Linked DNA regions of Caenorhabditis elegans. The protein of the gene in region 3 interacts with the protein of the main gene of each other region in a pairwise test. Each region holds a gene or a part of one and is shown on either strand. Other genes may lie near its edges.

The links.
Region 1: the proteins of ima-3 (region 3) and arrd-13 interact in a two-hybrid assay, tested with the Caenorhabditis elegans proteins (one large-scale study listed by BioGRID).
Region 2: the proteins of ima-3 (region 3) and Y105C5B.19 interact in a two-hybrid assay, tested with the Caenorhabditis elegans proteins (one large-scale study listed by BioGRID).
Region 4: the proteins of ima-3 (region 3) and exh-1 interact in a two-hybrid assay, tested with the Caenorhabditis elegans proteins (one large-scale study listed by BioGRID).

Annotation. Positions count from the first base shown.
Region 1 is NC_003280.10:13,754,116-13,762,835, reverse strand, and holds arrd-13 (Arrestin C-terminal-like domain-containing protein), read right to left. Parts: upstream 4,429-8,720; 5' UTR 4,416-4,428; coding exon 4,231-4,415; intron 4,080-4,230; coding exon 3,974-4,079; intron 3,475-3,973; coding exon 3,312-3,474; intron 2,724-3,311; coding exon 1,941-2,723; intron 1,889-1,940; coding exon 1,743-1,888; 3' UTR 1,601-1,742; downstream 1-1,600. Other genes in the region: arrd-14 (Arrestin C-terminal-like domain-containing protein), read right to left, coding at 6,673-6,770, 7,809-8,241.
Region 2 is NC_003282.8:15,979,492-15,987,831, reverse strand, and holds Y105C5B.19 (Major sperm protein), read left to right. Parts: upstream 1-3,861; coding exon 3,862-4,524; intron 4,525-5,072; coding exon 5,073-5,210; intron 5,211-5,258; coding exon 5,259-5,492; intron 5,493-5,554; coding exon 5,555-5,651; exon of another isoform or gene 5,652-5,655; intron 5,656-5,740; coding exon 5,741-5,831; intron 5,832-5,876; coding exon 5,877-5,984; intron 5,985-6,030; coding exon 6,031-6,154; 3' UTR 6,155-6,257; downstream 6,258-8,340.
Region 3 is NC_003282.8:7,556,986-7,565,640, forward strand, and holds ima-3 (Importin subunit alpha-3), read right to left. Parts: upstream 4,680-8,655; 5' UTR 4,676-4,679; coding exon 4,601-4,675; intron 4,556-4,600; coding exon 4,485-4,555; intron 4,372-4,484; coding exon 4,156-4,371; intron 4,111-4,155; coding exon 3,516-4,110; intron 3,473-3,515; coding exon 2,994-3,472; intron 2,915-2,993; coding exon 2,806-2,914; 3' UTR 1,756-2,805; downstream 1-1,755. Other genes in the region: F49E8.8 (Phosphatidylinositol-glycan biosynthesis class F protein), read left to right, coding at 1-39, 101-220; nprl-2 (Nitrogen permease regulator 2), read left to right, coding at 224-440, 485-796, 841-1,543, 1,588-1,711; F32E10.9 (TPR_REGION domain-containing protein), read right to left, coding at 5,528-5,725, 5,813-5,978, 6,028-6,152. UniProt on the Caenorhabditis elegans protein: Binds specifically and directly to substrates containing either a simple or bipartite NLS motif. Promotes docking of import substrates to the nuclear envelope. Seems to act as a cytosolic receptor for both simple and bipartite NLS motifs.
Region 4 is NC_003283.11:3,154,065-3,160,805, reverse strand, and holds exh-1 (T20D4.11-like domain-containing protein), read right to left. Parts: upstream 3,721-6,741; 5' UTR 3,712-3,720; coding exon 3,571-3,711; intron 3,521-3,570; coding exon 3,107-3,520; intron 3,058-3,106; coding exon 2,998-3,057; 3' UTR 2,935-2,997; downstream 1-2,934. Other genes in the region: UPF0376 protein C36C5.12, read left to right, coding at 1,644-1,778, 1,835-2,248, 2,298-2,357; srab-7 (Serpentine Receptor, class AB (Class A-like)), read left to right, coding at 5,634-5,860, 6,275-6,503, 6,552-6,737.

The DNA.
Region 1 (8,720 bases), on a different chromosome or scaffold from region 3:
CAGTTTTCCGATTTGCCAGAAATTATCAATTCCGGCAATTTGTCAATTCCGGCAATTTGTCGATATGCCAGAAATTTTCAATTCCGGCAATTTGTTGATTTTCCAGAAATTTTCAATTCCGGCAATTTGCCGATTTTCCAGAAATTTTCAATTCCGGCAAATTGTCGATATGCCAGAAATTTTCAATTCCGGCAATTTGCCGCTTGCCGGATATTGTCAATTCCGGCAATTTACCCATTTTCCAGAAATTTTCAATTCCGGCAATTTACCCATTTTCCAGAAATTTTCAATTCCGGCAATTTGCCGATTCGCCGGAAATTTCAATTCCGGCAATTTGCCGCTTGCCGGATATTGTCAATTCCGGCAGTTTTCCGATTTGCCAGAAATTATCAATTCCGGCAATTTGTTGATTTTCCAGAAATTTTCAATTCCGGCAATTTGTTAATTTTCCAGAAATTTTCAATTCCGGCAATTTGTTGATTTTCCAGAAATTTTCAATTCCGGCAAATTGTCGATATGCCAGAAATTTTCAATCCCGGCAATTTGTTGATTTTCCAGAAATTTTCAATTCCGGCAATTTACCCATTTTCCAGAAATTTTCAATTCCGGCAATTTACCCATTTTCCAGAAATTTTCAATTCCGGCAATTTGCCGATTCGCCGGAAATTTCAATTCCGGCAATTTGCCGCTTGCCGGATATTGTCAATTCCGGCAGTTTTCCGATTTGCCAGAAATTATCAATTCCGGCAATTTGTCAATTCCGGCAATTTGTTGATTTTCCAGAAATTTTCAATTCCGGCAATTTGTTAATTTTCCAGAAATTTTCAATTCCGGCAATTTGTTGATTTTCCAGAAATTTTCAATTCCGGCAATTTGTTAATTTTCCAAAAATTTTCAATTCCGGCAATTTGTTGATTTTTCAGAAATTTTCAATTCCGGCAATTTGTTAATTTTCCAGAAATTTTCAATTCCGGCAATTTGTTGATTTTCCAGAAATTTTCAATTCCGGCAAATTGTCGATATGCCAGAAATTTTCAATTCCGGCAATTTGTTGATTTTCCAGAAATTTTCAATTCCGGCAATTTACCCATTTTCCAGAAATTTTCAATTCCGGCAATTTACCCATTTTCCAGAAATTTTCAATTCCGGCAATTTGCCGATTCGCCGGAAATTTCAATTCCGGCAATTTGCCGCTTGCCGGATATTGTCAATTCCGGCAGTTTTCCGATTTGCCAGAAATTATCAATTCCGGCAATTTGTTAATTTTCCAGAAATTTTCAATTCCGGCAATTTGTTGATTTTCCAGAAATTTTCAATTCCGGCAATTTGTTAATTTTCCAAAAATTTTCAATTCCGGCAATTTGTTGATTTTCCAGAAATTTTCAATTCCGGCAATTTGTTAATTTTCCAGAAATTTTCAATTCCGGCAATTTGTTGATTTTCCAGAAATTTTCAATTCCGGCAAATTGTCGATATGCCAGAAATTTTCAATTCCGGCAATTTGCCGATTTTCCAGAAATTTTCAATTCCGGCAATTTGCCGATTCGCCGGAAATTTCAATTCCGGCAATTAGTCATTTTTTGCTCAATGTCAAGTATTCGATTGAAGTTTAATAATTTATGCATTAAAATAAAACAAAAACACATCCAACCAGGCAAAAAAACATTTTAAAAGCAATGATAATTTTGAACAATATTCGGCAAAGCAGGGCAGAGTCCGATGAAAATCCTTCATTCTTCGGATTATTCCGGTGGTGGCGCTGTCGGATTATAAACTGGCAAATTGTTGAAAACCGGGTATTTTGGAGCAAATGGTTGCTCATTTTCATCAGTGTTGAGCTCGGTTCCATCTTGTCCAAACATTGATTCTTCGTAGGATAGTGGTGGAGCTGGAAAAATTTGCAATTTTAGAGAATTGTGCTGGACTTCTGAGTAACTCACCACTTGGAATCACTACAGTACCATCATCTTTGCTAGGATATGGGACATTCGGAATAGGATACATTGGCATGCTGGCAGCTGGATATGATGCATCACCAGCTCCCTTCTCCGAGCCATCTGCCATCGGCAAGAATCCATACCCTGGTGGTGGAGCAACAACCCCTCCTCCAATCGGAGTTGGCAGGATCTGTGGAAGATTCGGATCCTGTGGATAGTAGGCTGGTGGAAGGAACTGCCGAATAGGCACTGTTCCAATCAGGATCCCCATTTCACAATCAACATCACTCCCGAATGTTGAGCTGGTCTCCACGTGGAATTGCACAATGTACTCTACAGTAATCACCGGTGAGAACTGATTGATGGTTGGAGTTACAGACGGAAGACGGAGCTCCATCGCAAATTTGTGCTCATTCCTGGGAGCCACTGTCATTTCCTGGCCATGCTTGACGACGGTCTTCGTGTCGTGTTTGGTTTCCTGAAGCTGTCCGGACATTCCAGTCTCATAGCCTCCGCCATAATGGAAGGTGGTACCGTTTCGATATGCAATGAACTTGCACTGCTGAATAATTTTCGCCTTGACTTCGGTGACGGGAACGGAGGAGTGATTTAGAATATGGATGTTCATGGGAACAGTCTCGCCGGGTACGAATCCAGTTTTCGGGATGTTTACACGAAGTTCGAGATATCCTTTTTTGAAGCAGCAACAGCCAAGGTTCTCGCTAGCCTGGTCGTTGATTTGGGTGAGTGCATGGGGGATCACATTGAGGTCGATCAGTGGGGAAACTGAAAATGTTTGAATTTTTGGCTTAGGCTTAGGCTTAGAATGTTAGTCTTAGACTTAGACCGTTAGGCTTAGGCTTAGGCGTAAGCTTCGGCTTAGGCCTAGGCTTATGCTTTGGCTTAGGCTTAGGCTTAGACAGTGGTCTAGATTTAGGCTTAGGCCTATGCTTAGGCTTAGGATCAAGGGTGTTCGTTTTTCGATTTTTTTGAAAATCGAAAAATGTTTAAAAAATTATCGTTTTTCTGATTTTGCGAAAATTTTTTAGATTTTCCAAAATATTAGCACAATATTTTGGCCATTATTCTTATTTTTAGAATTAATTTTGATGTTTTTTTCTCATCAATATAAGCAAAATTAGATTTTAAAAAAAATCATATTTTATGGTTAATTTTCTTAACATTCTTTTCGATTTTTCAATTTTCACTGAAAAAACATCGAAAAATCGAAAAATGCCACTCCTGCTTAGGATTAGTCTTAGACTTAGGCTTATGTTTAGATTGTTAGGTTTAGGCTTAGGCTTCAGCTGCGTAGGCTCAGGCTTAGGTTCAGGCTTAGATTGTCAGGCTTAGGCTTAAAACTGTAGCCCTTACCAGTGATGCATCGCTTCTTTGCCTTATCCAATCTCCATGGCCGATCCACTTCAGCTGTCACCGAGTATCTCAAATATCCATATTTTCCCTCAAAGCTTGGCGGAACGTTGAGAGGAAGATTATAAGAAAATGACCAGGCGTATTCTCCAGCTGCTAACTCGTTCTGACAAATATTCAGATATCTAATAATTGTAATTTTCAACCATTCTTCATTTTGAGCTACCGAAAATTTCAGCAAATCGGAAAATTGCCGGTTTGTTGACTTTGCCGGAAATTTGAAAAAACGGCATATTGCCGACTTAGCCGGAAATTTAAAAAAAAAACAGCAATTTGCAGAAAATTTGGAAAACGGCAATTGCCGAATATGCCGGAAATTTGAAAAAACGGCAATTTGTTGACTTTGCCGGAAATTCGAACAACGACAATTTGCCGACTTTGCCGGAAATTTAAAAAAAAAACAGCAATTTGCCGAAAATTTGGAAAACGGCAATTGCCGAACTTGATGTAAATATGAAAAAACGACAATATGCCGAATTAGCCGGAAACTTGAAAAACGGCAATATGCCATCTTTGCCGGAAATTTGGAAAGCGGCAGATTGTCAATTTGCCGGTTTGCCGATTTTGCCGGTTTGCCTATCTATCCCTGATTCAAAATACCCTACCGATCCATCTTTGCAAGCCCACAGAAGCAATGTATAATCCAGGTAGTTCACATTCGCAGAGTAGTGCACAGATTGCCGGTGGTGGCTCACTTTTCCGTCGGCGTCACTGGAAAATTCGAATTTTATAATTTTTTAGTGTTATTCGAAAATTCGGAAATATTTATTGATTATTCAATTTTCCATTTTAAAAAATTTGAAAAATAGCTTTTTCGTCAAAAAAAAAATGAAATTTTCTACAGAAATCTTAAATTTCTTACACTCTGCGAACACTCTCATAATCCGTCCAACTGGTGTGAGCCAATCCCAAAATTTTGATATTCACCGCCCGAGCCTTGTATTTTTCCTTCGTCGTTGAGAGCACCACTCGGCCGGAAATCGGTTGTCCCGGGAAGAAAACTTCGTTAGGCTGGTCGAATATCACGTGAAGCTCCGTTTCTGGCATGATAACCCTGGAACTTAGACAAAAATCGTTAAAAAATCGTTAAAAAATTCAAAAAACCGGAAGAAAATCGGTGGAGAGAACACTGAAAATTTAAAAAAAAACGAATTTTTGATTTTTAATATTTTATTTTAAAAAAATAGAAAAAAATTATGCATTTTAATTGAAAAGGAAAGGAAAAAAACAATTTAATTTAATTCAAAAAAAAGGAGCGAAATAAATTTTGCAGAAATTGTCATAAAATGTGGTGTTTGCGTACTTGAGAAGGAGTGTGCGCCTTTAAAGAGTACTGTAGTTTCAAAATTTCTTTTTTAATTGATTTTAGTTTTCAATAACTAATAAACACATTTTCGATAAAAAAAATGTATTAATTTATGGAAAACATGAATATAGCAAAAAAAACTCTCAAATATAAAAATAAAACTATGAAAAATCCATAGAAATTTGAAATCGCTGCAGCAACAAAAGTTTGAAATTACAGTACGCTTTAAAGGCGAACGCCTTTTCCTTTCTATCAAGAATTTGTCGTGTTGAGACCGGTGTTTGGTATTTGTGGCTCAAAAATCGCGAAATCTCGTGTCTGGGTAATAGAATAAATTTTAAAAGTTCAAATTAAAAAAAAATTAATAACTGATTCTAATTTCTTAAACGATTTTTTACTAGATTTTTTTTTACAATTTCATGAAAATTACGGAATAGCCGCTCGAAACAAAGCAAACAGACACATGCAGTATTGAAGGTCAAAAAAATCGCACTCCGCAAGAGCCGCAGAGAAATAAAGGGAACAGCGAGGATAAAAGAACGGGGCAAAGACCAACGTTTTTCCATTAAACTTGTGAAAAAGAAACGTTGCTCACAAACAGGAAGAATTGATAAGCTAAACGGAAGAAGACATAGGAGAAGCATTACTGATTAAATAGGAAATAGTGATAAAATTTCTGACATTCGGGAAAGTTAATTTGTAAGGTCAAACAACGGAGAAAAATATGCTAGAAATGGCCGAACCCGGGGTGGGCGGCAAACGATTTTTCCGGCAAATCGGCAAATTGCCGGAATTGAAAAAAAAATCCGGCAAATAGGGGAACCGGCAAACTGCCGATTTGCCGAAATTTTAGGAAAATCGGCAAATTGTCGGAATTGAAATTTCCGGCAAATCGGGAAATTGCCGGAATTGAAAAAAAAAATCCGGCAAATAGGGGAACCGGCAAACTGCCGATTTGCCGAAATTTTAGGAAAATCGGCAAATTGTCGGAATTAATAATTTCCGGCAAATCGGCAAATTGCCGGTATTTGAATTTTCGGCTAAGCGGCACATTGCCGGAATTAAAAATATCCGTCAAATTGGCTAATTGCCATAATTGAAATTTCCGGCAAATCAGGAAATCGGCAAATTGCAAATTTTGAAAAAAAAAAGGAAAAATTGAAAATATCCGGCAAATCGGGGAACCGGCGAATTGACGATTTGCCGAAATTTTAGGAAAATCGGCAACTTGCCAAAAATGAAAAATCCCGGCAAATCGGCACATTGCCGGAATTTAAAATTTGTCGGAAAAACGACAATTTGTCGGAATTGAAATTTCCGGCAAATGGGCAAATTGGCAAAAAAGGTCAAACAATGGAGAAAAATAGCTTTAAAACATGCTAAAAATAAAAAAAATTCATTAATTTCATCGTCCGTTTTTATAGGACCAGTTTTTTTTTAAATAGAATTTCAAAACCCAGCCTATTATATATTTGTTAGGAATAAATGCAAAATCGGGGTGACTAACACACACTACTCAGAAAAATATTTCCTCAGACAAAACTGTTAAGTAAAAAAAAAACTAAAGAACTAAAAAAAAAAAAAAAAAAAACTAAACTCTAGCCTAAATCCCTGAAACCTCAATTCCTATTGTTAATTTCTTGTTAGTTACACTATTTTAGAAGGTATTGAACAAAAAATGTGTGTGTGTGTGTGTGTGTGTGGTTTGATGCCGGCAGAGGACGCACGAACCCTTGATAAATGGACGGAAAGAGTGCTGAGAAACAGAGAAAACGGAAAGAGACGTCGAAAAAAAGGGAAAAAAGAACGAAAATGAGAAACCCATTTTGTTGGAGGGTATTCTGAGAACAGCCTAGTGCAATTAAATTGCTAGAAGATACTTTTTTATAGATGTCAAACAAATGCTTTTATTAAAAATGAATTCCATCAAAAGAAACAAACGGAATAGCAGCATGTGATAACAATGGTATTTTATAAGCTCAGGGAAGACAGAAGACCTCAATGCCCATAATACGGCACTTGATAGGTGAACACCGGCTTCATATCGACCGTCCAGCTCTGCGCATCTTCTCCATCGACGAATTTGCGTGGGGGTACTGGAAAATAGAGTTTGTTTATATTTGAGTGCTCATGTTTCAGTGATTTTGACCGGAAAATTAGTTTATTTATTGCCAAAAATTGTCAGCAGAGGTGCATATAGGTTTTTTTCCGGAAAATTTCTGGCAATCGGAGAATCGGCAAATTGCCATAATTGAGATTTCCGGCAAATCAGCAAATTGCCGGAATTGAAAATTTCTGGCAATTGGCCGGAATTGAAAATTTCCGGCAAATTGTCGGAATTGAAAATTTCCGGAAAATCGGCAAGTTGCCGGAATTGAGCATTTTTGGCAAATTGGCAAACCGACAAATTGCAGGTGTTGAATATTTCTGGCAAATTGCCGGAATTGAAAATTTCCGTCAAACCGGCACATTGCCGGAATTGAAAATTTTTGGAAACCCGGCACTTTGCAGGAATTTAAATTTTCTGGCAAATCGGAAAAGCGCCACTTTGCAGGAATTTAAAATTTCTGGCAAATTACCGGAATTGAAAATTTCCGGCAAACCGGCAAATTGCCGGAATTGAAAATTTCTGGCAAATCGGCAAAGTGCCAGAATTAAAATTTCCGGTTAATAGGCAAATAGGTCAAATGCCGGAATTGAAAATTACCGGCAAACTGCCGGAAGTGAAAATTTTCGGCAAATCGACAAACCGGCAATTTGCCGAAAATAAAAATTTCCGGCAAACCGGCAAACTAGATGAAACCGCGGCGCGCCGTAATATGACAAGAATGCCCGGGACCTTCTATGATCTACCAAAAGAGGCAATATTTCTTGGAGCTCAAAAAGTGCAAAAATTAATGGGAAAACTGAGTTCACTAGTTTTCGTTCGATTCTATCAAAGCACGGATGTGCGGCAAATTTGCAGAATTTGCCGAGCTTGTCGTTTGCCAAGCTTTGCAAATTTCAAAAATGTGGACTTGCCGAGTTTGTCGAGTTCGGCAAATTTCAAATTTTGCCGCACACCCCTGTACCAGAGTGGCTTCTGAACTTCTCATCTTTTTCTCAACTTTTTCTTAATTCTGGCTAAAACTTACGTGAAGAGCTGCCTAAAAACAGCGGAACATTCCCAACGATAATATTCAATGCAGCTACTCCTCCCCGGTTACACGTTCCAGTATCTCCCCAGACTGTCACAAAGTACTCCACCGCTAGAAGCCTCGAGGAACGAATTGTGCTCACTACAGCCGGAATATCAAAGGAGAAGGCGAAATCCTTGCTGGATCTCGCCGGAACATTGCATCGTTCGATTTTCGTCTCAAGGATCTGCTCCTCGAGCTTCGACTTGAACCCGTCGGCTCCATCAGCCTTCTTCTTTGCGTTGGCTTTTGCCTTGAGCTCCTCGCGATATGTGATTCTTCTTGTTAGTTTCGCAGTGATGATTTTCATGGGTTTTGAGGTTCCGTTCTCGATTTGTCCTGACACAATTACATTCTCGCCTGCGACATAACCACATTTTGGAGATTGAAGCTGCAAAATCGATTATGCCGAATATGGTGCCAAAATGACCGAATATCCTAAAAAAAACTGTTCAAAAATTATTTTGAAGATTTTTATTTACTCTCAAAAAGTGGCAATTTCTCAGTTTTTGCCACTCATTTGGAAGTCTTTTTGGAAGTCGACCAAAAAAATTCTTTTTGATCTACAAAAAGTGCGGGAAACTTTTTCCCTTAAAAATTGTGACGTCAGCACGTTCTTAACCATGCGAAATCAGATCCCGCATTTTTTGTAGATCAACGTAGATCAAGCCGAAATGAGGCACTCTGACACCACGTGATTTTGGCAATGTGCCAAAACTTTGACCGGAAATTATGAAAAATCTAAATTTTTTCGGAGTGTTTTTTAATAACGCTGTAAAAAAATAACACAAACACGTGGTGTCAGAGTGTCTCATTTCGGCTTGATCTACGTTGATCTACAAAAAAAGCGGGAGAAAACACGCAGAGTTC
Region 2 (8,340 bases), 8.4 Mb from region 3:
TCTTTTTTATGTAGTCAAATCGGCTAAATTTTGAAAATTTAGAGCAATAAGGTTGTGTAATTTTTTCCATAAAACCGCGCAATAAACGGTGTTTTCTTTCCATATTTAGGCATAAACACTTTTTACAAACTATCTAGCTAGAATTGAATTTCTCGATCGCTGACTGAGTAACACTGAAATTAAAAAGTTTATACTTTACTTCTACAATGAAACAGTAAAGTTATATTTTGACTTTTTTTTAAACCTGATTTCGAAAGTTCGGGAAGTGCATCCGCTCCTTTACCTTCGATACTTTTTTCATTTATAAAGCCATGCGATAACTTTATAATAATATCGATAAATTCATTTTTATATTGACATCATGAAATAGTACATTTTTGAAATGGTTCAAGAAAAATAACAAGAAAAACGATTTTAATCAGCGTAATTATGTATAGATTGATCTTGTTATAACATTTTTATTAAAGAAACATCGTAATATATTTTCCTATCTCTGCTCATGCTGAAACTGGGGAGCCTGTGTCAGCAAATCCTTGTGTATTTCTTAATCAAACGTTGAAAGTGGAAATGTTTTTTTTTTTTGAAATTGCCATCTCATTTTGAATAAAAATCTGATAAAAGTTGTTATAACAGTATTTACAATGTTTTATATATTTTATAAATAGTTTACTAAATAAAATTAGTTTAATTCGAAAAAAAACTAAAACACTCAACCATACAATTTGTATAACTTAACAAAAATCTGAAACAGAAAAACAAGAAAGTGAGAAAAATCTTTGAAGTCATCGATAATTCAGATAAATCATAAATTGTCGGGGTTTTCATTCCATGGAAATATTTTGAAAAAGTATAATGAAAAAATCAGTGTCCTACTATTGGTTTCTAAAACAATTTAACAATTTAAATAAACCTACTTTGTGAAACGGGTTTTAAAATAATTTTTTCACGTTTTAGGTAAGTACTTATATTTTTTTTTAATTTTGAATTTATACACACCAATTTCGAGAACACATTATTTGTGTACGTTGCTCGAGAAGACCTAACTCCTGCCTTTAAATGAGCACCCGACATCTACCGGGTTTCACTCACTTTTATAAGATACAAATCAGTGCAGTAAAAGCTAGTTTTTTAAAAATATATTTAGACAATCAAATGATAAAATCTAGAGTTTTTTTAAAACTTTAATAGTAATGTTCAATTTTCATTTCCAGCTTGCATTACTACTCAATCACTAGCTACGCATATTGCTGCTCATTGTTTTTATATTAGTTACGTGAAACAAAATATGTTTTTATTGAATAAAATCCTACTGAAAATGAATTAAAATGACAAAATGAAACAATTCAGAGTATATTTCTGAAATGTTCCTGTTTATTCTCACATAATGCATGGAAGAATCAATTTCTAATTGAAAATTAACTAATGACGTTCATGGTTGAAATCAATACGTGTTTCACATTGTGGTTAAGTGTGGGCTAGGATTTTTAGTTGTATTCTATGTCTTGTTTATTGTTGTAAAGTCGGCTAGAATTTTGTAAATTTAGAGCAATAAGTTGGTGTTATTTCTTCCAAAAAAAAGCAATGTTACAGACAATTTCGCGGCATAAAGTAGGCGGTCTCATTATAAAATGGTCTTTAAAAAAAAATACTTATTCTTGCCGTCTAATTGTGAAATTAAAAAATTTTTAAGGAAAAATAGAAGATAAATTTAAAGTTTCAGTGTGTTTTGGTAGCAATTAATTTTTTAATTTGTTCATGGATTTGTTTTTCATCAAATTATTTTTTTTTCATTTGTTTTTTTAAATTCCCATTTTTAGAAAGCTATCAAATTAAAATTACAAAAATATCATTTTCGTTCAATCATCAATATGTATATGAAAATACCCGTTTGTCCACTTTCTAAAACCGCAATTTTTTTTTGAACGCTCATGAATAAAAAACAACTTCCTAAACTGTTGCTAGATTGATCGAAATGCAGATGGCATTTAAAATATTTGGGAGCGTTTTATTTATATTTCAATTCATTCTTTTGAATAGCAGATAAGGTATCTAATATAACATTTTAAAATACTTATTCTTTAAAATTTTGATTATTTCATAAATTTTACTGATTATGAATTTTATAAAGTTAGAACGGTAGATTAGCGCGTCAAGCGCGCTAGGCTTCGCAGTAGTTTAAGTTCGAAAACTGTGGAAAAGTTTGATAATTTTTGAAGGAAAATGGTTCAATTTTTTTCATTGAATTAAATTACTGTCATATCATTAAATTACTATTGAATAAGTAAACTTTTCTTGAAATCTTATTTCTTACTTGAAACAGTAATTTCAATTCTCGAAACGTAAAAAATTATATGATTTTTCCGTTTTTCCTTCATTTAAAATGATTTTACACCAAAAACAGTTTCATAAAGTTGTTTAATGTGTTCTAGAAATATCAATTATTTTATAAATTTCAAATCACTTTTTTGAGAAAAGAAATCTGAATTTTGTCAGAGATGTTTCAACTGGTTTTCAAAAGAAAAACTTGAGTAACTATTTTTAGTAGATAGATCCTTCGACCTTTCCAGTCGTTTTAACAGTGAAAAAAAAACCCGATAATCAACACATTATTCCACATTACTTGTGGGGTTTCTCAAGAACGCCTAACGCTAACGAAATATGAGCGCCCGACATCTACCGAGTTTCACTCACCTATATGAGATATAAATCAGTGCAGTAAAAGCTAATTTTCAAATATTTCCAATACACGAACAATAATGAAACTAGTCAGTTTTATAATATTAATTTCTGAAAATTTAAGCAGTTTCACAAATTTTTTTTCTTCGAAATTTCGACAAACTTAAAAGCATTATTGAATGATCAAATTTATCTAGTAATTTTAAGTCTACTTGAAACTGTAATTTCAATTCTCGAAATGCAAAACAAATTATAGGATTTCCGCGTTTTTCTTTCATTAAAAATCATTTATAGGGAATTATCTTTGAAAAAATAAACGTTAACAAATGTTCCCGAAACAACAGATTATCAGTCCAATAATATGTCAAGTTGTTCTTGGAGCTATGATTTGCAGTTGAAAAAGTGAAATTATTTTTATTTTCCCCAGCATTTTAAAAAAGTTACATCAATATTAAATACAAACTTGAAACAGTATTTTCAATTAATTAATTTTTTATTTTAATTTTTCTTTTATGCTTAGTTGTTTAAACAGTAGATGTTTTCTCTAACAGTTAACAGTTTTTTTTTAATATTTGCCATCTCTTTGTTGTGGGGCAAACGCTCGAAAAATTCAAAATTCTAATCAAAACCAATCAATAAACACTAAAAACGCTCCAAACCCCCCTCTCGTAAACCAACGTCCGTTGTCCTGAAACGTTCCTTTTCTCTGCGTCTCTCGTCATTTCTCTTACCACCACCTGCGTCTCTCACACTAATTCGGTCTCTCAACTCGCGGCGGGAGGCATTGCGCGCAAACAATGCTTCCCGTGCGGTGACGTTTTCGATTTTATCGGTTTTTATTTTGTGTTGTTTCTTGTTTCTCGTGAATTTTATATTGTTATTCACTAATTTTGAAAATTCGCGGTTTTTTAATTCAAATCTTTTTTTTAATTTAAAAAAAACGAGTGCTAGTCAGAAAGTCCCATTTTGCTTTGACCTTCAAAAAATGTGGGAGCAGCGACGCAGACATATCATCTGATTTTGCATGGTTTAGAGCGTGCTTACGTCACAATTTTTATGAATAAATATTCCCGCATTTTTCGTAGATCAAACCGAATGTGTGTACCTGACACCACGTCGATTATCACTATTGATTTTTTGAATTTTATTTGAACGCTCAAAATCTAAAAAAAATTCAATTTTCAGATGTCCCGCCGAGCTTCAAAAAGACCTGCTCCGTATCCACTCCTATGCGAACAAAAACCGGAAGATCTTCTAGTTGCTCCAGTCGAACATAAGGTTTACCAGGATTTTGAGCCTAAAAGACCCCGAGAATTTTCCCCCGTGATGGCTCAATCCCTTCCACCAGGAGAAATTGACTTCCAACCGAGCAAAATCATCTTCAATGCTCCGTACAATGAAAACCAAGAATCTAAAATCAAATTAATCAATACTTCGGCTCTTCGTATTGCTTATGGAATCAATACATATATGAAAAGACTCAGAGTTGATACGATGTGCACTCCAAATTGTGGAGTACTCGATCCAAGTGAGGAGATTCTTCTAACAATTTCCTGCGATGCTTTTGCATTCGGACAAGTAGATACCACAAATGACCGTATCACTGTCGAATGGACCAATACGTCTGAAGGATCCACCAAGCAGTTCTGTCGTGATTGGTTGGATGGAGATGGGATGGTTCGTCGTAAGACCCTTCCGATAGAGTACAGCTCATCTCCAATTGCTCAAACATCTTCGGCACCCCTTCTTCAGGCCTCTAAGCATGGGATGTGGTTGCCGATTGGATTCGCTGCTTCCGAATTGTACGATTATGCGAAAGGGGAACCATTGGATCGGAAGACTTGTGAGGTAGGTTTTGAGGGGATTATTTCTAGAGCAACTCGTATAGTGTCGGGCGCTGAAGTTCAGACGATTGAAATCTGATAGCAGCCAACATTGCACGGGCCTAGTTAGAATAACGAGTTTGCATGGCGAGACTTGTGAAATGTCGGTTTGCTTGTAGAAACAAAATCTCACCGCGAACTCCTCTAAAACTGCTTTTGCTAGCAGCCGACATTAAAACGAACGAACGGAAGCAGAAGTCGGTGCTTTACAGTATTGTTAAAGAAACTCGCAAAGTGTCGGGAGCTGAAATCCAAGTGCTTGAAATTTGATAGCAGCCGACACCACAATGGCCCAGTTAGAACAATATTGAATGTTGAGACTCGTGAAATGTCGGCTTGTTTATAGGAACAAAATATTACCCGTGGACTCTTTTAAAACTGCTGTTGCTAGCAGCCGACATTTTACGGGCCCACCACGGAATTTGCAGTCTAACTCGTAAGATGTCAGTTGCTTACAGTACATCATTGTAGTCAAGACCTTAGCCCTGCCAAATAAATCTTCAAATTTTTCAGAAAAACCTGGAGAAACTCATCAAAAATGACCGTGATGTTGACTACTACGAATGGCTCAATTTCGCCAAGCGGTGTCGAACACAAAATCAGAATTTGATGGAGGAAATGGCACTTGGAATGGCTTTCACTACGGCGATGGTGAGCAATTTCCAAAAGTTTCGAAAATTAAAAAAAATTCGCTTTCAGGCAAACAAGCAGCACAGGAAGATTTCTCGAAAAGCGGAGAAAATCACGGAACCGATCACAACGAACAAGGCATTCTCAATTGACTCAGCCGAGAAGTTTGACAGAGCTTTGACGTTGCCCAGCAGGAAATGGTTCATGATTTCCGATGTTGTGACGGATGGAGATGTGTCGAATTGGTCGACGGCTAACTTGGTGACTCTTGTGAGAGCTCTGGCGAGAACGGTTTTCGATAAGGTATGCTTAGTGGAGTCTTGCGTAGACTTTATAGAATCTTGCGTAAACTCCAAAAATTTAAGGTTGCCATTGCGGACCCCCATATGATGTGCTACGCAACTTCACAAAACGCTTCTACATATATTCCCATCGCTAGGGACTTTTTCGAAGGGTTTGCTGGTTAGTTTTCCACACGTTTCACCAAAAATTTATAAATTCTTTGAAACAGTAGGAAATTTAATATTAAAAAAACCATGTTCCTCTTCCAGAGTACATACTCGGTGGGTTCGGCGAAGAACAATCGCGAGACCTGAAGTTTCGAGTGAGGAAGCTGGTCACCGACGTTATGGGCAATAAGTTGTGAGTTTTACTGTCTCAGGGCTCAGTACTAAATTTATTTTTCAGAGACCGTGTGAGAGGCCGCCACAACAAAATGTATGGAAACGAAGCAAGTGAAGATGCCACAAGATGGCTCCGAGAGCAACTCCGCAAGGAGGATGGAGAGCTCAAAGAGTTTGTGATTTCATTGAGTTTTATAAAAATCGATAATTTTTTTCAGATCCCGACTAATTTTCCCAAATGGCTCAGAAATGATGTGTAACTATCAGGTAAACGAAGAAAACCCAGAAGGAAGTATAAAATCAGAAATTTTCAATGACGAAGAGGAAGTGGAAATGGAATAATTTGTTTTTGAAATTGTTATATTTTGTTGACTTTTCTATTAACTTATGTATTTCAATTCTGAAAAAAAAACATTTCAGCTGTCTATATAAAAGTTTTTCCAGCGCTCCTCTCATAGTTCTCAAGGTTTCAATAATTTGAAAATTTCAAATTTTTACTGTTTCAATGTGTTGTGAAACATGAGCTAAAATTAAAATGAAATGTTAGTCCCATAGTAAAAAGTTTTTGTTGTGAAATTGCAGTCCCGTGCAATTTTTGGCTCTGTTCGAGATTTTCTACTATATTTCCAGCCACAATTTGTAGAGTCGCATATTACTTAAATATAAATTAAAAAGAATCAATAATAACTGTTTAAAAAATAGTTTTGGGTCAACAGTGAAAATTTTACTGCGCAGAAAACTGTTGCTCACTTCAAATTTGAGCACAAAATCTATAAAAATTGTTTCATGGTGTTCATTTATTGGAACTGTTAGCATCAACATGAATTAAATTTATTGATCTCAGAGATCATCGGCTCAGATGATGTTCAACTCCAACTTTAAAAAGATTTCAGTGCCCTTAAGTACTTTAGCATTTTTTATAGCTCTTTTCACTTTTATAGTTGGAAAAAAAGTTTGAACATATAGTAAATGCGCCATTTTTGCATATAAAGAGTTCGTCAAATTCAAAAATACTTCAAGTACTTTTTCACAATGTTGGTTTAAGTGTAAAGGTGTACAATGAAATAATGTCAACGTATTTTTACACGATATTGATTTTTAAATTTTTTAAATAAGTGCGCCAGAGAAATTTTCATAAATATTATGTTCCTTTTTCACACAGCTGAACCAAATTTGATAATTTGACAACATAATCAGTTTTAATCAATAATGCTTCATCTAGCTTCAACTAGTTAATGTGTACCACTTTATTAGTTTTACTTGGCAAAAAGTCAAAAATCTGATATCAATTAAAAAATATAGTTTCATTTATTGTATCAACTAATTTATTATTTTCAATTACACTGCACCATTGATTTCTTCACATTGTGTTTCACGAGACTTTTATATATTCCTGCTGAAATTTATGCGGCTTCAGACTACAATCAGACTAAAGCCATAACTACAATCAAATCTGAACAGATTAGTAGTCTGAAACAATCTTATCGACAAAAAAAAGTAGTTACAAAAATGAACTTCAAATCCAAGAATTTACACGATCACCATTGAATTAAAATTGTGATCTGAAATTATGTAAAAAATGAGAAACAGAAAAAAAATTGTTTCACTTGCCCGAGTTGTTTTGATTTTCAAAAAGTAAAGTTTAACTGATAATTTGAAGCTTTACAGTTTTATTATATTTTAATGAATCTACTTTACCAAAAATACAAAAATTCATTTTACTTAAAAGCCTACTGACACGCTAAAAAGTAGAGACTTTGGGGTAAAAGTAACATTCTTAAATTTACTGACAACTGTTTCACTATGTTCTCAAAAAAACAACATTTAGTTCCAATGATATTCCTGTTAGCAATGATTATTTAAAAACACTGTGAAAGTGAAACGTCTCAAGTGAAACGTAAAACATTAAAATTATTGCAGTTTCAGAAAGTGCATATAAAAATTGGCTAATTTATTACATAACTAATTTTAACAAAAGCGTTGTTTACAATCGATTTTTTGTTTGAAAAAAGTTTATCTCGACCAATTATTGACACTTTAGGTTCCCAGAATATTTTGAGACTAAGTGAAACAGCAAAAAAAAACAATTAATCATAAATCAATATTTATTTTCCGTTTCACAGTTTTACCAAATTTATGGCACGTTATTGTTTAGTACTAACACTATTGCATTATGGGGTTATTCAAGTAATGTCGGAAAATTAAAAAGTGTAGAACAATTACGTCACAACTGTATTCAAGTATACAAAAACATGTATTTAAATACATTTGTGACGTCACAAATGTATTTAAATACATTTTGCAACATTACTTGAATAACCCCATTATTGTTAGATGAATTCTTTATTGAATTGAAACATGAAAAAAAAGAATTTAATGGTTGAGAGAATGTTGCAAATAAAAGTTGTTTTAAATGGAAAATTTAAAATTTCGATACTTTTTGAGATAGTAAAATTTTAATTTTCGTTGCACTATGTTTCTAAAAATTAAAGACATATTACAATGCACATAGAATTTGATTTTTTTTT
Region 3 (8,655 bases):
GCTGCTGTTCATCCATTGGATTGGGATCGTTGGTGGCAGGTAATCACGCATATATGCGCGCATACACTTCTTGTCAAATGTGTAATAAATTAATTTACAGCGATACCCTCTTCCTTCCCTCGTCGGTTGCTTTATTGGAGCAGTTATTGGTATTTTTATTGCCATTACCCGGATTTTTGTCATCAAGCGGACCGCTTACAATAAGACTAAAAAACGCTAAACAATGGTTCAGCGTCAAAAAACTCTTGCGACATTCGGAGCAGGACCTTTTGCAACAGGTGATTCAAGTGGTGGTCGATTCGGTCATTATACATTTGATGATGCCCCACAACTTCTCGGAATTCTGTTGGCAGAATTTCATAACACTTTAGGTGCAATCATCAAACATTCTGTTCCGAAAGAAAATAATAAAGTTGAGGCAACTTTTCACTTCACAAAAGGTATGTTATATTAATCCAAATAATAAAATGAATTTATGTTTCAGGCTTGATCATTCCAAAACCATCCATGTTCCGTAACTCATTTTCACTGACCATCAAATCTCTTCGCTGCAAAGTTCTCATGTTTCCCGTTGGAATAGATCACAAAAGCTACGAACGTGGTCGTTTCACTTTCGATATGGCTTTCATCGTTGACATGACATCATCTGCAGAAACAATGTATGAGCCAATTGTACAGAAATGCGCGGAATATTTGATTGAATTGGAGATGGAATACAAATTTCTCACAAATCCAAAATACAAGGATCAGGTTCTTGATGTAATGGAGAGAATGTTCAATGATCTGTCGAATAAAGGTAAACTTTGTATTTTTCTATGAATAACAAGATTTTAAATTTAGGCGAAAGTGTGATTGAAGTCAGTCTTGAAGATGAAAAGATTGTGACATTATATTTCAAATTATGCCCATTGTATCGTGGATGTGAACCTCCAGAAATCGATTATCATATGGTTCCAATGTTCATAAGAGAAGTGACGCTTACCGATCATCTCATAGAAAAAATGGATGTTCTGTCACAGAAGATTATTCCTCAAATTGATGGAATCAATACAGTTCGAGAGATTGCTATTATTCTCGAACTTGATCCATCCCTCGTCGCCAGATGTGTTCGTAATTTACACTTCTACGAATGTGTCAGTCTTGTTCCAATGTTTCTCTACTATAATACATATGTGGCAACTGAAAGAGTTCACGACTTTTACAAAAATCAAACGGAAATCAATGACTGCCTTGAGTTTGTGAAAATTCAAACGGAAATCGGTGCAGACGGCTCAGAAATTCCAACGCGAACTCCAGAATTTTCGGATGTGTTCCGACTTTATTTGAGCATGAAAGTGGTGGGACCTAAACTTCCGATCGACGAATCTGATAGCAATCGACTACGTTTTCAGTGCGGCAACAATCTAGCAGAATGGGCCGATCTGGAGAAACCAAGATCGATGGGTATTGATGAACAGCGACTTGTACAATTTGGAATGCATCATCAGTTTCTTCGTAAACTTTCTAAATATCCTATTTGTGTTGCAAACCCAGGCAACAACACGTAAGTTAATCAATTAATACTATCTAATAATATACAATTTTAAGTCTCCTGAAACGGTGTAATGGAAAAACTTCAATTGACGAACTTTCTCTTCAACATAATGTGGACCCCGAACAACTTTGCTCACTGTTGGAAGAAACCGGAAAATTTGAGTTTGTCATGAAATAAATGAAAATCGTGTATTATTGTTTCGTTTTACAACAACTTTTAACAAATAAATTTGATTTATTTATTATGAGAGCACACACCAGGTAAAGGGAATATTGGCCAGTCAGTCGAGACAATCGAGAATAGCAAAACGGGAGAAAGGAAAATGGGATGAGGAAGATGAGAGGGAAAATGAGAAAAGAAGATGGATGATGAGAAGAGGGACGGCTCGATATACCTTTAAAAAGGCCTTACGGGATGGGTGGGGTTTCAAGAAAAAGAATACTGGAGTCCACGAGAACTAAGAGGAGCAGGGTGATTGGAATTTTTGGCCTATCAACGAGATTCTCCGAGAACTAATGAAATCGAGAATGATGATGGATGACTAGGAAATGAGCAAACTAGGGGGATCAGAAGTTCTAAGAAATTGAAATTATGTATATGATAAAGAATTAATAAAAGTAACATGTGAAGAAAATGAAAATACTCGCTTTTAGAGAGAAAATCTGGGGACCGTGGGGATTGGAGGGACTGGGAAAAATGATGAGAGATTTGAAAACGACGCGGTAACAATGATAAAAGGATGAGGGTGGGGGACGCGGGCAATGAACGGGCGCGAATGGGAAACAAAAATGAAAACAAAACTCAACAAAAATGCACAACTCACACACTCACTTTAAAAAGAAATCGAAATATATTATCATAAAACAGTCACTCTCGCACACACGAAGAAGAGGGCGGGGACATTGTAACTAATTAATCACAATGGAAAAAAGATGGTGGATGAAAAAGTGAAATGTTAATCAAATCACTGATGGTACAGAAACAACGAAGAGATAAAGAAAGGATGAGATAATTGACAATCGATTGTAGAAGAACGTGCAAACTCAATTGGTCAAAAAGTGCAAAATCTCACATGAAAGAGAGCTTGCATTTCCGAGAAGCTGGCTTAGGAACTCGCGTGTCAGATGAAAATACACGAGAACCTAACAAAAAGTGAGGTGTGAAAAATAGTAAGACGAAAACTACATGAACATTTGTATGGGAACGGCATGCGAAATTGTTTACGAGAAATAAGACAAAACGTATTTTGTGATTAAAGGAATCATGGAGATCTACTTTCCAAAGTTCCATCCTCCGTTTGGAGCATCAGGAACTGGTGGAACGTCGCCTCCAAAAGCAGAACTTTGAGCTCCTTCCACGTTGCCAGTCTCATCATCGGAACTGAAAATATAAAAACGTATACACCAAACATTCGCACACGGACTCTGAAGATTTTTATCAAATATAATTGGACTCCTACCTGAAGAAGTTATCGATAATTTCGAAAGCCAGTTTGTAAATGTCCTCGTTTTCATGATTTTGAAGATTTTCTATCTTGTCAAGACCTCCGCACTCTTCAATCTCTGATGTCACCTGTTCGGCAGCTTCTCCAGCCATTTTCAGAATGTTGTTAATTCCATCAAGCACTACTTGGATAATCTGCGAATCAGTGCAACTGAGCATCGCACAGAAAGGACGAAGGACACCAAGCTTTACCATTTGCTCAACTTGATTTGGACGGCCAGAGATTGTAACGTTGGAAATAGCCCACGCTGCCTCTTTTTGAGTTGGGAAATCTCCTCGATCAAGAAGATGAATAATCATTGGCATGATTCCGGCGTCGAATACGTCTTGAACTTGTTGTTGGTTTCCAGCAGTTATGTTGGAGACAAACCAAACAGCCTCTTTGTTTATTTTCTCTTTGTAGTGGGCGAGAAGTCCTGGCATAAACCGAAGAACCTGAAATTTAAGATTTGGAAAAGTCATAAATGAAAATTTTTACTCCGCTATCCAACACAAGTTGTGTTTGTTCGTCGGTTCCAGTCACAATATTTCCTACAGCTCGAAGTGCTGCTGTTTGAACTTTAACATCAACGTGTCCAAGGAGTGGAACGAGATGGGTAACAACTTGAGCTTCGATAACCATTTGAATGTGTTCATTTCCACCGTCGGTGAGGTAAGAAAGGGCCCAAACGGTGTCTATGAGGATGTTGGTGTCTTGGTGATGGATCAAAAGTGAGAGGGCGGGAAGAATCGTACGAACCACAGCTGGGCTTGGTGCCGGATCTTTGCACCTGCAGAGATTGACAATAACCCATGTGACATTTCTCAAGAAGCCAATAGGTATCTCCGGGTTAATGAACTGCAATAGTGGCTGGAGAATTCCGAGTTCGAGACAATAATCACGGAAATGTGGTCCATCTCCAATGATGTTACCAAGAGCCCAGACAGATTGCTCGCAAACGTTCAGATTTCCACATGACAGGAGTTGCAGGAAGAGAGGAACGGCTCCGGCATTCACGACGGCTTGTGTTTGCTCTGATGTACCAGATGCTATGTTGGTAAGGGCCCATGCAGCTTCAAATTGCAAGTTTGGACTGAAAATTTACAGTAATTTGATGCGACCTTATGAAAATTCTTACTCCGTGCTGGACAAGCATTGAACGAGGACAGGCAAAATCCCACTGCCAATCAAGTCATCAATTGGTGGATTTCTATCAGTTGATAGCATTTTACGGGCTTGTTGAACAGCAGTCAGCTGCTCAGCGGGATCGCTCGATTGGGCAGCAGCGACTGTCAACCGGAGGAGGTTGGCATCAAATGGACCTGGTGGGGTTGTTGAAGTCTCAGAATCATCTCTGAAAATTAAAACAATTCAAAAACTGGAACAGATAATTTACTGTGATAAGCGTATGAAACACTTTTGTTAGCTCTCATAGCTGAAGCATATAAAATCAGATGAAAAACTCACTCAATTTGGGTATTGATATTACGCCGTTTGGAAATTGCCTCCTCTCGTTTATCCTTTCTGATCGAAACCACCTTAAAATTGAATAATGTATGCGTTAACAAGTTTATCGAACTTACTTCTTCGTTCCTTTTTTCCTTGCCAATTTGCTCTTTGGCATTGTTCTTATAATAAGCCTGTCTGTTTGAACTCATTCTGCTGAAAGAAAAAAACTTGATAAATGAATAGTAGCGCAAGTAAAAAGCAACAAAAAACGTTTAAAAACTGCGGAACTTTCTATCAGAGATTTCGCAACACAAAAAGTATCTAAGATTACAGCTTAATTATTTAAAATAAGAAAAGAGCGATATTGAGAAACTTTAACAGAAATTTTTAAATAAAATCCAATGAATTACATGTAAGATGGAAAGATTTCAGTAGGATTGGGGAAAAATTATAGTCGATAACGAGACAAAATATGTCGCAGAAGCGTCGCGGTTGACACGCAACGCACACAATAGAGCGTATTGGCAGATAAGAGGTCTCACTCGTAGATTTTAAAACTAGGGAAAAGAAGCTCCGGAGTTTTTGGATGGATCTTCTTTAAAAAAAGGAAAACGTGTAAATGTTAAAGATATTAAGAACAAAAAACAATGTCTGATTAAAATGTCAAACTTCGCTTCAAATGGTTTCAAAATATGGCAATTTTAAATACATTTGGGTACCAAGCTCTTTTAACAAAAAATTTTAAATAATAAATTTATTTACTCAACATTCTTTACAATATTAATAACAGCGGATTTTATAAAAATTATAAAGCAATAAATTTTGTGATTGCATCCTACTCGTCGCCGCTCTCATCCTGCACCACCTGAAAAATAATGATATTTATGGTTACATTTGCATTTGCATTTGCATCAAATGCATTTGATATAATACTTTTGAACAAAAAACCAGGAGTATTTTCTAGTCCGAAAAACTTACATTAGCCGTCTTTTCCCGCAATTTCTTGTTGTGTTCCTGGATCCAGGAGAACACCTGATCTGCTTCGGTCAGTGTCGATCCTGTTACAGTTTTCGCAAAGATCTATTGAAAAACTTAAGAAAAGATACACTCCCCAACGCTGCTGGCATGCCGTGTTCACAGAAAAGTTTGGAACTTTTGAAACTTTTCAGACTAATCAGTAGGTTGACCCAGTTGACCCATTGGTCTATGTTCTCTTCGCCGGCCCATGGAAGATTGTCCTTTGCAACTTGAATTGCAGCCTGAAATGGTTCAATTTGAATCACTATTGCGAAGAATATAGTTATAATATAATTCGTTTAACATTTTTCAGTGTTTTACAGGCTTACCTTTAAACCAAACTTGGAATCGTAGGTCTCCATGTAGTTGATAAATTTTATCAACTCATCTCCGCTGACGTCAGTATTTTTGGTGATAAAATCACGGGTAAGCTTTTCAGCCTCAGCACCGCGATTTGCGTTCTCTTCTACAATGACTCGTCCGGTTATTATAGCTCTGAAAGTAAGTCAGTTTCAAAAAAATTGATTAAAAAATGTTGTCTTACTGGCAGTTCGGAAATTTTGCTGCAGCTGATTCAAAAATTTTTCGGGAGCTTTTCAGATTCCCTCTACTCTTAATTTCAGCCATGATTGCGACCTTGCATTTGATTTTGTCCGATTCCAATCCCATCACAAGCAAGGATGTCAATTCCCGTGTTCCGTTTGTCCCGTTGTCCCGTTTTTGGGGTGTTTTCACGGGAACGGGAATTCCCGTTGTCCCGTTTTTAAAATTTTCACGGGAACGGGAATTCCCGCTGTCCCGTTTTTGTCATTTTCACGGGAACGGGATGTCCCGTTGTCCCGTTTTTTGGGTGTTTTCGCGGAAACGGGAATTCCCGTTGTCCCGTTTTAAAAATTTTCACGGGAACGGGAATTCCCGTTGTCCCGTTTTTGTAATTTTTAGGGGACACTGACACCTTTGATCACAAGCAACTTTACTCGGGAAGCGATGGATCCTTCCAGTCTAGATGCATTGATGACTAGCTCTTCACTTGGTGCATGGGCTAAGCCTCCATGTAAAGCTGTGGTCTCGAGGCCCCACCAAAACAGAATGCAGTTCAAAACAGGATTTACCAAAAAATGATGCAGTGGGCGGAGCCAATTGACAACTACTATCAAAATTTATGAATCGATCCTTGGATTTTGCAAAAATTAATTTCTTGTTGATTTTTCAAATAAAGTTTCGATTTTACTTGTATTTTTCTCTTTTTTCGAATTGGATAACATTTTCATTCGAAAAAAAAAGAAAAATCGAAACTTTATTTAAAAAATCAACAAGAAAGCAGTTAAAAAGGGCCGTGGGCAAACCCCACGCGGCAGTGTTGCGAAAGGACGCTTCGCCCAACTTTCTGCACGACAAAAGTTTTTGCAAAATCCAAGGATCGATTCATAAATTTTGATAGTGCCGTATGCTTGTTTCGCAAGCCTCGCACGTTTTTTCTTTTGAAAAAATGCAACAAAATCAAGGAAAAAACGTGCGAGGCTTGCGAAATAAGCGTGCGGTGATTGCGAATTCGCTCCGCCCACTCCATCCATGTTTATATGCATCCTGTTTTGGTAAATCCTGATTTTTACTTCATCAGAAAGAACACATTCTCTTTCCTATTTTCAGGGATAGTGGAAGACAAAAAAAACAATATGGATTTAAAATCAGGGCTTCGCCCCGATTTTAATAAAATATATGAAACCCTCTTAAAAAGTTACAAGAAGGCTTTTCCTTGCGCTTGGAGCGCAATAGAAAAGAAAAAGAGCTATTTAGACTTAGGGTGCCCAACTGGAATAAAACATTGGAAATCCCAATCCAACCAGCCTAAGGGCCCGAAAAACATACTAGGATGCCCAACTTGAATAAAATATAGAAAATCCTTATGACACACTTAAGCCTAAAGGCCCGAAAAACATACTAGGATGCCCAACTGGAATAAAATATTGGAAATCCTTATGACACACCGGCGGTATGGCGCGGCTTAAGCCTAAATAGCCACTTTTATCAAAATACATTTGAGCTCGCTTTGCGTTTTACAATAACTTCTCAGACTCAAAAGTAATCTGTGTATATTTTTCAGTAATCTAAATGAAAACTATAGATTACTGAGAAACTTGGAGATTAGATTTCGTAATATTTGGAGGGAAGCGAGCAACCTTTGGGGATATTTTTTCTTAGTAAAGTTATAGAATGCCATTATTCAAATTCCTATCTCATGGGAAGAAAAGTTCAAATTCTGTACCATCAGCTCGCCTTGCGTTTTACAATAACTTCTCAGGCAACTCAAAAGTAATCTGTGGATATTTTTCAATAATCTAAATGAAGATTATTTCTAAAAAACTTGGAAATTTTGTAATATTTGAAGGGATGCGAGCAATCTCTACATATTTGCGAGCAACCTTTGGAGATTTTTTAAAAGTAAAGTTATAGAATGCCAATATTCAAATTCCTATCTCATGGGAAGAAAAGTTCAAATTCTGTACCTGCGTATATTTTTTTATAACTCCGTTCTTCCCACAAGAAAGGCCTTCTTCCCATGAGACAGGAATTCAAATATCGGCAGCATTCATAGGTACAGAATTCGAACCTTTCTTTACATGAGATAGGAATTTTATATCAACCAAATTAACCCTCCAGTAAAGTGGGACCTTTGATGAATATAATCACTCTGATGATATCTAATTCCGATGATTAATCCATTTTTCTTTCTCTCACACTTATGAACTAAAATGATTACTAAATTAAGGCGTGATATTCTAAGGTGTGATAACATATGATATTTATTTTTAAGTTTAAATAAAGTTTTTTTTTATTTTTGCTAAAGAACGAATAGTTTACAACCGCCTCGCTCAAATGTATTTTGATAAAAGTGGCTATTTAGGCTTAAGCCGCGCCATACCGCCGGTGTGTCATAAGGATTTCCAATATTTTATTCCAGTTGGGCATCCTAGTATGTTTTTCGGGCCTTTAGGCTTAAGTGTGTCATAAGGATTTCCTATATTTTATTCAAGTTGGGCATCCTAGTATGTTTTTCGGGCCCTTAGGCTGGTTGGATTGGGATTTCCAATGTTTTATTCCAGTTGGGCACCCTAAGTCTAAATAGCTCTTTTTCTTTTCTATTGCGCTCCAAGCGCAAGGAAAAACCTTC
Region 4 (6,741 bases), on a different chromosome or scaffold from region 3:
TGTAGTTGATCACTTTGTCATAAAAAAAATCCAAAGGGTCCTTACAAAAATTTTCATTTTTTTTCGAACATTTTCTTTTGAAAATTTTTGAAATTTTAATTAGATGTTATAGAAAATAGCAATGTTTGCTGTTTTGTTCAATTTAGATGTTCTGAACACAATTTCAGACAAAAACCTGAGGCAGTATAACCCCTAGGTTTTTTTTGTATTAAAACACCTGTATTAAAACAGATTTATCTATTTCTAGAGGCGAGGTATCAAAAAGTACCCAACTATAATCTTGTTAAGCTTAAAACAGTGAACGTTTTTGTAATTGTAATTATCCCTTCATCTTTATCGAGAACCGAGATATAGTTAAGAACAGATCTAGAATATTTTGGTCATCTTTTGGGGCTCACATCTCCACAGTCATTGAAGATAACAAAAAGGTACCAACTACCAAAATGTTTTTCACATTATTACCAACAACTTTTCAGTTGAACACATTTTATTAATTCAAACGCCACCAGAGTTATAAGCCATTGAAAGTAATACGTCTGTCAGCTCAATCAACTCTAGTTTTGGTCACTATTCGACTGAGATCGTAAAATGAATGTCCAAACTTGGAGCAACTACCTAAATTGAGGTATTCTACAAAGTTAAACACTTTTTGAAAAATTCTTGGAAAAAAATTTTACTCAAAAATTTTTCAACCATAAGGGAGGACCCTTATGATATTTTGAAGCTGGAGAATCTGATAATAAGGGGACCCTCATGATTGTTCGGATTTGAAGATTCAAATCGTACGGGGTACTCTTAAAAGGTAATTGAAAAATTGAGATTTCAATGACAGTTTTTTCCAATTAGTAGGCACCGTTCCACTTGTGACATTGTGAATGCATGATGTATACATCGCGAAAGTTGTCCAATTTTTCGCGATGTACACATTGCGTGCGTTTGCGCTTCGCTAATGCCCGATTTATGCCTCAAAACACACAATGTATACCCCGCGATTTAACTGTGGTGGTGGCCGCTAGCTGTCTGGAGGTCACGAGTTCAAGTCCGGCCTCACCCCCTAGGTTCACCCAGCCTCTATTGGGAAGTGGAGCAATCCACGACTGGATTATCGGCCACAGTCCCCGGCTAGGACGTGGCTTAAATTACAGCCCAGAGGGATCACCACCAGGCAATGTACCTGAATCCCAGATCCGCAGTGCATAGCACTTGAAGAACGGATCGTCCTTTAATCCTTTAATCCTTTAATAAGTGCATTTAGACAAAATCCCTCACTGGAAGTCTACTCGCGAGCTCAAACGCTTTCCTTGATTGAATGAAATGCTCCAACTCTTGTTGGGCTTCTTACTGTCCACTGTCCAACTTGCTATCTTACGTTTTTTTGTGTAATCATGGGACGTCTCGATGTTAAAAATTCCTGGATTGAGTTCCATCAGGATGTTTGTACATTTGATTTTGTGAAACAAACGTGCAATCCACATTCTCTTTAAAGATATATTTGAAGATCTACGCCAGTTGTCACAGTGTTCTGTATCATCTTTTGAAACATTTATAAACAAGGTAGCTCACATCAGTGAAAACTCTCCGGCACAGTTTTTTTCAATTTTCCACTTTTATTGAAAATGTGATTACATTTTTTGTTACAGGAAATGACAAGTTTTCTCAAGCTTGCCATCATTGGTACTGTGCTTTTGGGAGTGGCTCACGGAGCAAATCTAACTGCTGCCGAGAAAGAAACTTATTGTGAGTTGCGATCTGCCATTCAAACATTCCTTTGTATTGAGGTAAGTGAATTTTTTAACAACTTGAAATTTATCTAGTTCTCAAATTTGGAATTTAGCGTCTTCGCGACTTCGCAGCAAAAGTAGATGAACTCGACATGGATAAGAAAAGTGAACTGAAGGAATTCAAGAAAACTTGCGATTCTCTAAAAAATTGTTTTGCCATTACCCGCTGTGGGCCAAATTCCACAATGGACGAAGCAGAGTTGTTCCGAATGGTCGAAAAAAATTGCGAAGCTGTTGTGTACATCCACGAAGATTTTTCCGATTGTAGTGATAAACTTACTGCGAAAAAATCAGTTTGTTTCGACAACTGGGACCCGATTCCAGATGGAATTCATCTAGAAGAAGACGAAAAGAAGGTTGAGAAAATGAAAAAAGAGACTTGCAAGAGATATTTCGGGAAAGATGACTGCATGAAGAAGGAGATTGTCGAAACGTGTAGCCAAAAAGAATGGGATAAATTTCGTGAGGTAAGTAACAAGTAAAGACTTATTTTTTGGAAAATTCATTCATTTTCAGCAGTTCATCAATCTTTCCTCCGATTTGGTTAGCAAGTGTGACTTCAGCAGACTTGGATAATTATAATTCTGATGACAAAATATTAATGAATTAGTTTTGATGCAGGAACATTTTTTAGCAGCAAAATATGCTTTCAGGATTTTTTTCAGAGAGAACAGGATTTATTGCAAAACCAACTTTGATCGTGAGAAAAAATTATCTAGCGGCCAAAAATGTTGGTGGAAAAATTCCATGCAGGCGCCAAAATGCCTGCGGCGACCTCCGCCTGCCTCGTGCCGTGAGCCGTACCGCGAAAAAACCGCCAATCAAGGTATTTTATAAAATATCCTGCTCACTTTGTGACAGAACAACACTTTGGAAAAAGAAGACATCTTCATGAAAACACCTAGTTTCAGTTTTGTGTCACATGGCATTACAAACCTGCCGGATGTCAGAAGCTGTTACTTTTTCGACAATAGAATTATATAAACTAATGTAATTTTTTTTGTTTTTTTGTTTGGTATGGTGTACTCGACTGCAGGTACTAGTACCAATGGCAAAACTACATAGTTATTTCAATTTTTCGATTTGGAGCAACTCCGAAAGTCTGAAACGATTGAATCGGCGCAGAACGTTCCGAATAGAATAACTTTCTGATCGAAATGGTAAAATTTTATTTATCGAATTAAAATCAGAAAGTAAATCAAAATTATAAAGTTATTCAATCAGTTTTGCTGAAGCCGCATTCGCTCAAAATATTGTTGCCGATTCCCACGAAGTGCTGAAATTTAATAAAAATTGTTTTCTCTAAATTCCCCCGGAATACTTACGTCGCGAAGTTTGGCCCAATCGGATTCACCACATGTTTCAGTAACCACCGTCTTCATACAGTTGTCTTCTCCAAAATAATTCTTGCAAGAATCTTCACGCATTTGTTCTTTTTTCTTCTCATCCTTTTCCAGATTGAACTTTCTCTGGAACGGGTCCCAATCTTTGTAACATTTGTTCTCCGCAAGTTTATCACGGCATTCTTCAAAGTCGTTGGCGATATAGGAAACCCCGCTACAATAGTTTTTGATTTTTTTGACCATTTCCTTTTTCTCCTCTGGTGCGATACCCTTTGGTGTACACTGCGGAGTTTCAAAGCAGGTGGGGATAGTTTCGCAGGACTTTGAAAATTTGACTACTTCCGCCTTATCGTCCAGCTCAAGTTTATCAAGATCATCGAAAAACTCGCCTAAACGCTGAAAAAACACTAAATATTACTAAAAAAAGTATTCATATAAAAACAAACCATGATACAGCCAATCGAATGGAATTCAACAGACAGAGTACAATTGACCATGTTTCCCAAAGGTACTAGGTTAACTTTTACACCTTGAACCAAATCCAGGGACAATATACCAATGGTGACTAGTAAGAGGACGAGCTTCATCTCCTGAAAAAACAAACTACATACATAGAGCCGAGCTTGAAAATAAACGAAAAAATAGACAACATGAGATCCTGTCGACTCGAGCCGGGGAACTATTCTGAACAGAGTAGCAACTGTTCATGTCGAAAGGCGGAAAAAAAGTGTGTAACGTTTGAAGGGATAAAGTTCTAAAAGTTTGTTTCGACAGTTGTTGATGATCTTTTGAGAAACATTCATCGGTTTCTTTAAAAACTGAACCAGGAAGTGAAAATTAAGACTCTATCGTAAGTAGTACTAGGAGGAACGGACCCACCGAGCTCCCAGGACTGCTGGCCAGAGAATCTGGAAAAATCTGAAACTTGCCTGAAAATGAGCAATTTTTTTTCTGCTTCCATGCCGAAATTGGGCTGAGACTTATAGTAATTGTAGTAAGAAAAAACATTTGTTACAAGCTACATAAAAAATGTTCAAAATTTTTTAAACATTTATTTTAGTTTTCTTTCAAAAGCAAAATTATTTACAAACCGCATAGTTTTGCATTTTAATTTCAAATTAAAAACATAAATCGAGTAGCAAAAAAGCTGAACTCCAAGTGGTTTGATCTTGTAATTTCCCCTATAACACCACCTGCTGAAAAAGTTAAAAAAAAAACAATTCAGACAAACTATGATTATATAGCAATTTTGAAATTTTAGAATTTAGAATTCGTTCCAAAAAGGCCCAAACTCCCAGGGGGCAAAAAATGAGGGGGCATCGTGTTCTTAGGGGGCATTTACTCCAAGGGGGCATCACTCATAGGGGGCATTAGGGGTCAATGTTCTTAGGGGGCATTTTCAAAAGTCTCAAAGGGGGCAAAGTTTTAAATGAGTATTTGTTAAGGATACGATTTTTAATGATTTGTCAAAAATGGAATTCGGCCTTAAATACTAATTAAACACTTTGAAATGGAAAAATTATGATGTTTTATTTGTCTTGTTTATTAACAATATTTTGAAAAGTGCATTTTTTCGGTGGGCAACTTGTTATATTTGTATCTTTACAGTCATCCAATATAGACAAAAAGTTTAAACTAATAATTTGCTGATTACTATACAGGGTGACGACTTTTCAGTTGACCACTTTTTCTTATATCACACACGAACGGAGCTATAAGATTTTGGAATGTATTATGTCTACATCCCCGCTCTTGACAATTCCATTAATTTTTCGTGAGAGCACATCCAAAATTGTTTAAAAACTATTTTCTGTAGTATCTAAAACTTTTGAACAACTATCTTGGATGACTGTAAAGATACAAATATAACAAGTTGCCCACCGAAAACATACACTTTTCAAAATATTGTTAATAAACAAGACAAATAAAACATCATAATTTTTCCATTTCAAAGTGTTTAATTAGTATTTAAGGCCGAATTCCATTTTTGACAAATCATTAAAAATCGTATCCTTAACAAATACTCATTTAAAACTTTGCCCCCTTTGAGACTTTTGAAAATGCCCCCTAAGAACATTGACCCCTAATGCCCCCTATGAGTGATGCCCCCTTGGAGTAAATGCCCCCTAAGAACACGATGCCCCCTAATTTTTTGCCCCCTGGGAGTTTGGGCCTTCCAAAAAACCAATCACGCAAACAAATTTTGACTCATGTTTCGATGGATGTTTTTATCAAATTTTAAAAGATGAGGTCACAATACTATATTTCATAGTATTATGGCTTTCTGATTCCCAACTCATTAGCACATCTCTCAGAAAAATTTCTATGTGTGCTTTTTTTTTGTTTTCAGCCAAAACTTTTCTACGAGAACTTTTCATGAATCTCAATTTTTTTTTATTTTAAAATATTTAATTTGGAAAAAAATTTATTTTTAGCAATACTTTATGCATTTCAGGAGCATGCATTTATTTAATGCTAGGGCTCCAAAAAAATTTTCCAAATATTTCAGATGACACCATATCAGGAACAATGCAAAATAATGGAATCCCTGTCTTCGTCCATATTCCTCCGATTCACTATAACATTTCAACTTGCATCTAGTCTTTTGGCTTTAACAATGGTTATTGTAGCGAGTTATAGTTTATGGACTGCGCAAGTTGCAAGATTATTCCACGTCAATGTAATAATTATATTTCAAGTTCATTGGTTCGGATTTTTTTTGCATTGCTCGAACAGGTTATAATTTTTGTGATGTTACTATAACTCAACAATTAAAATTCGTAAAACGAATGGTTTAATAATTTTAATAATTTTAGTTTTTTTGGAACTGAAAAAATTCCACAACATTTAAACACTTAATATAAACCTATTAAAAAAGGTATTTCTAATATTACTAGTTTTTGGCAATTCAAATTCCTGGCGGTTCAACAATCCGGCAACCAACAAAAACTAAAATTATCGAAAAAATTTTAAAATTTTCAGGTTTTTACGAGTTGAGAAAGAAAAAATTTACTACAGTAAAAATAGTTTATTACTGCTTTTTGAGTATTTTATTCGAAATTTGTGTTCTCGATAATTGCCAAATTTTTTGACACTCCAAAAGACACGCAAGTGGTCTAAATATGCAATGCATTCCAATTCTGATTCCAGAATAGTGCTTCACACCATTGACCTTCACAACTACCTGATCCTTGACTACTGTGACATGCCTGCAAGCACAACTCGATGTTTTGTGCTCCGCGTTCAATATGTATTTGGCCTATGTTTAGTTGGAGCAACTACAATTCCACTGGTAATTGAAAGATATATTGCAACAATTAAATCGTCAAAATATGAACAAACTGGGTGTGCGTTGGGGATTTATATGGCTATTAAGCAGGTAAACCCAGTTCTTCGAAAATTTTAAAACTTTTTTGAAAAATTTAAGTTTTCAATTGCAACTATGACAACTTATTATGCATTCTTAATATTTCCATTCAAGGAACCTTTTATGCCCTACTGCACAGCTATCAAGCAGGGATTTGTTACTAACGTCGAAGTGATTTTCCATATTATCCTCCTTGCTCAAATAGTTGGAAGAGTTATTTTTCAGTACTTGTTTAACTTGAATGAGGTAT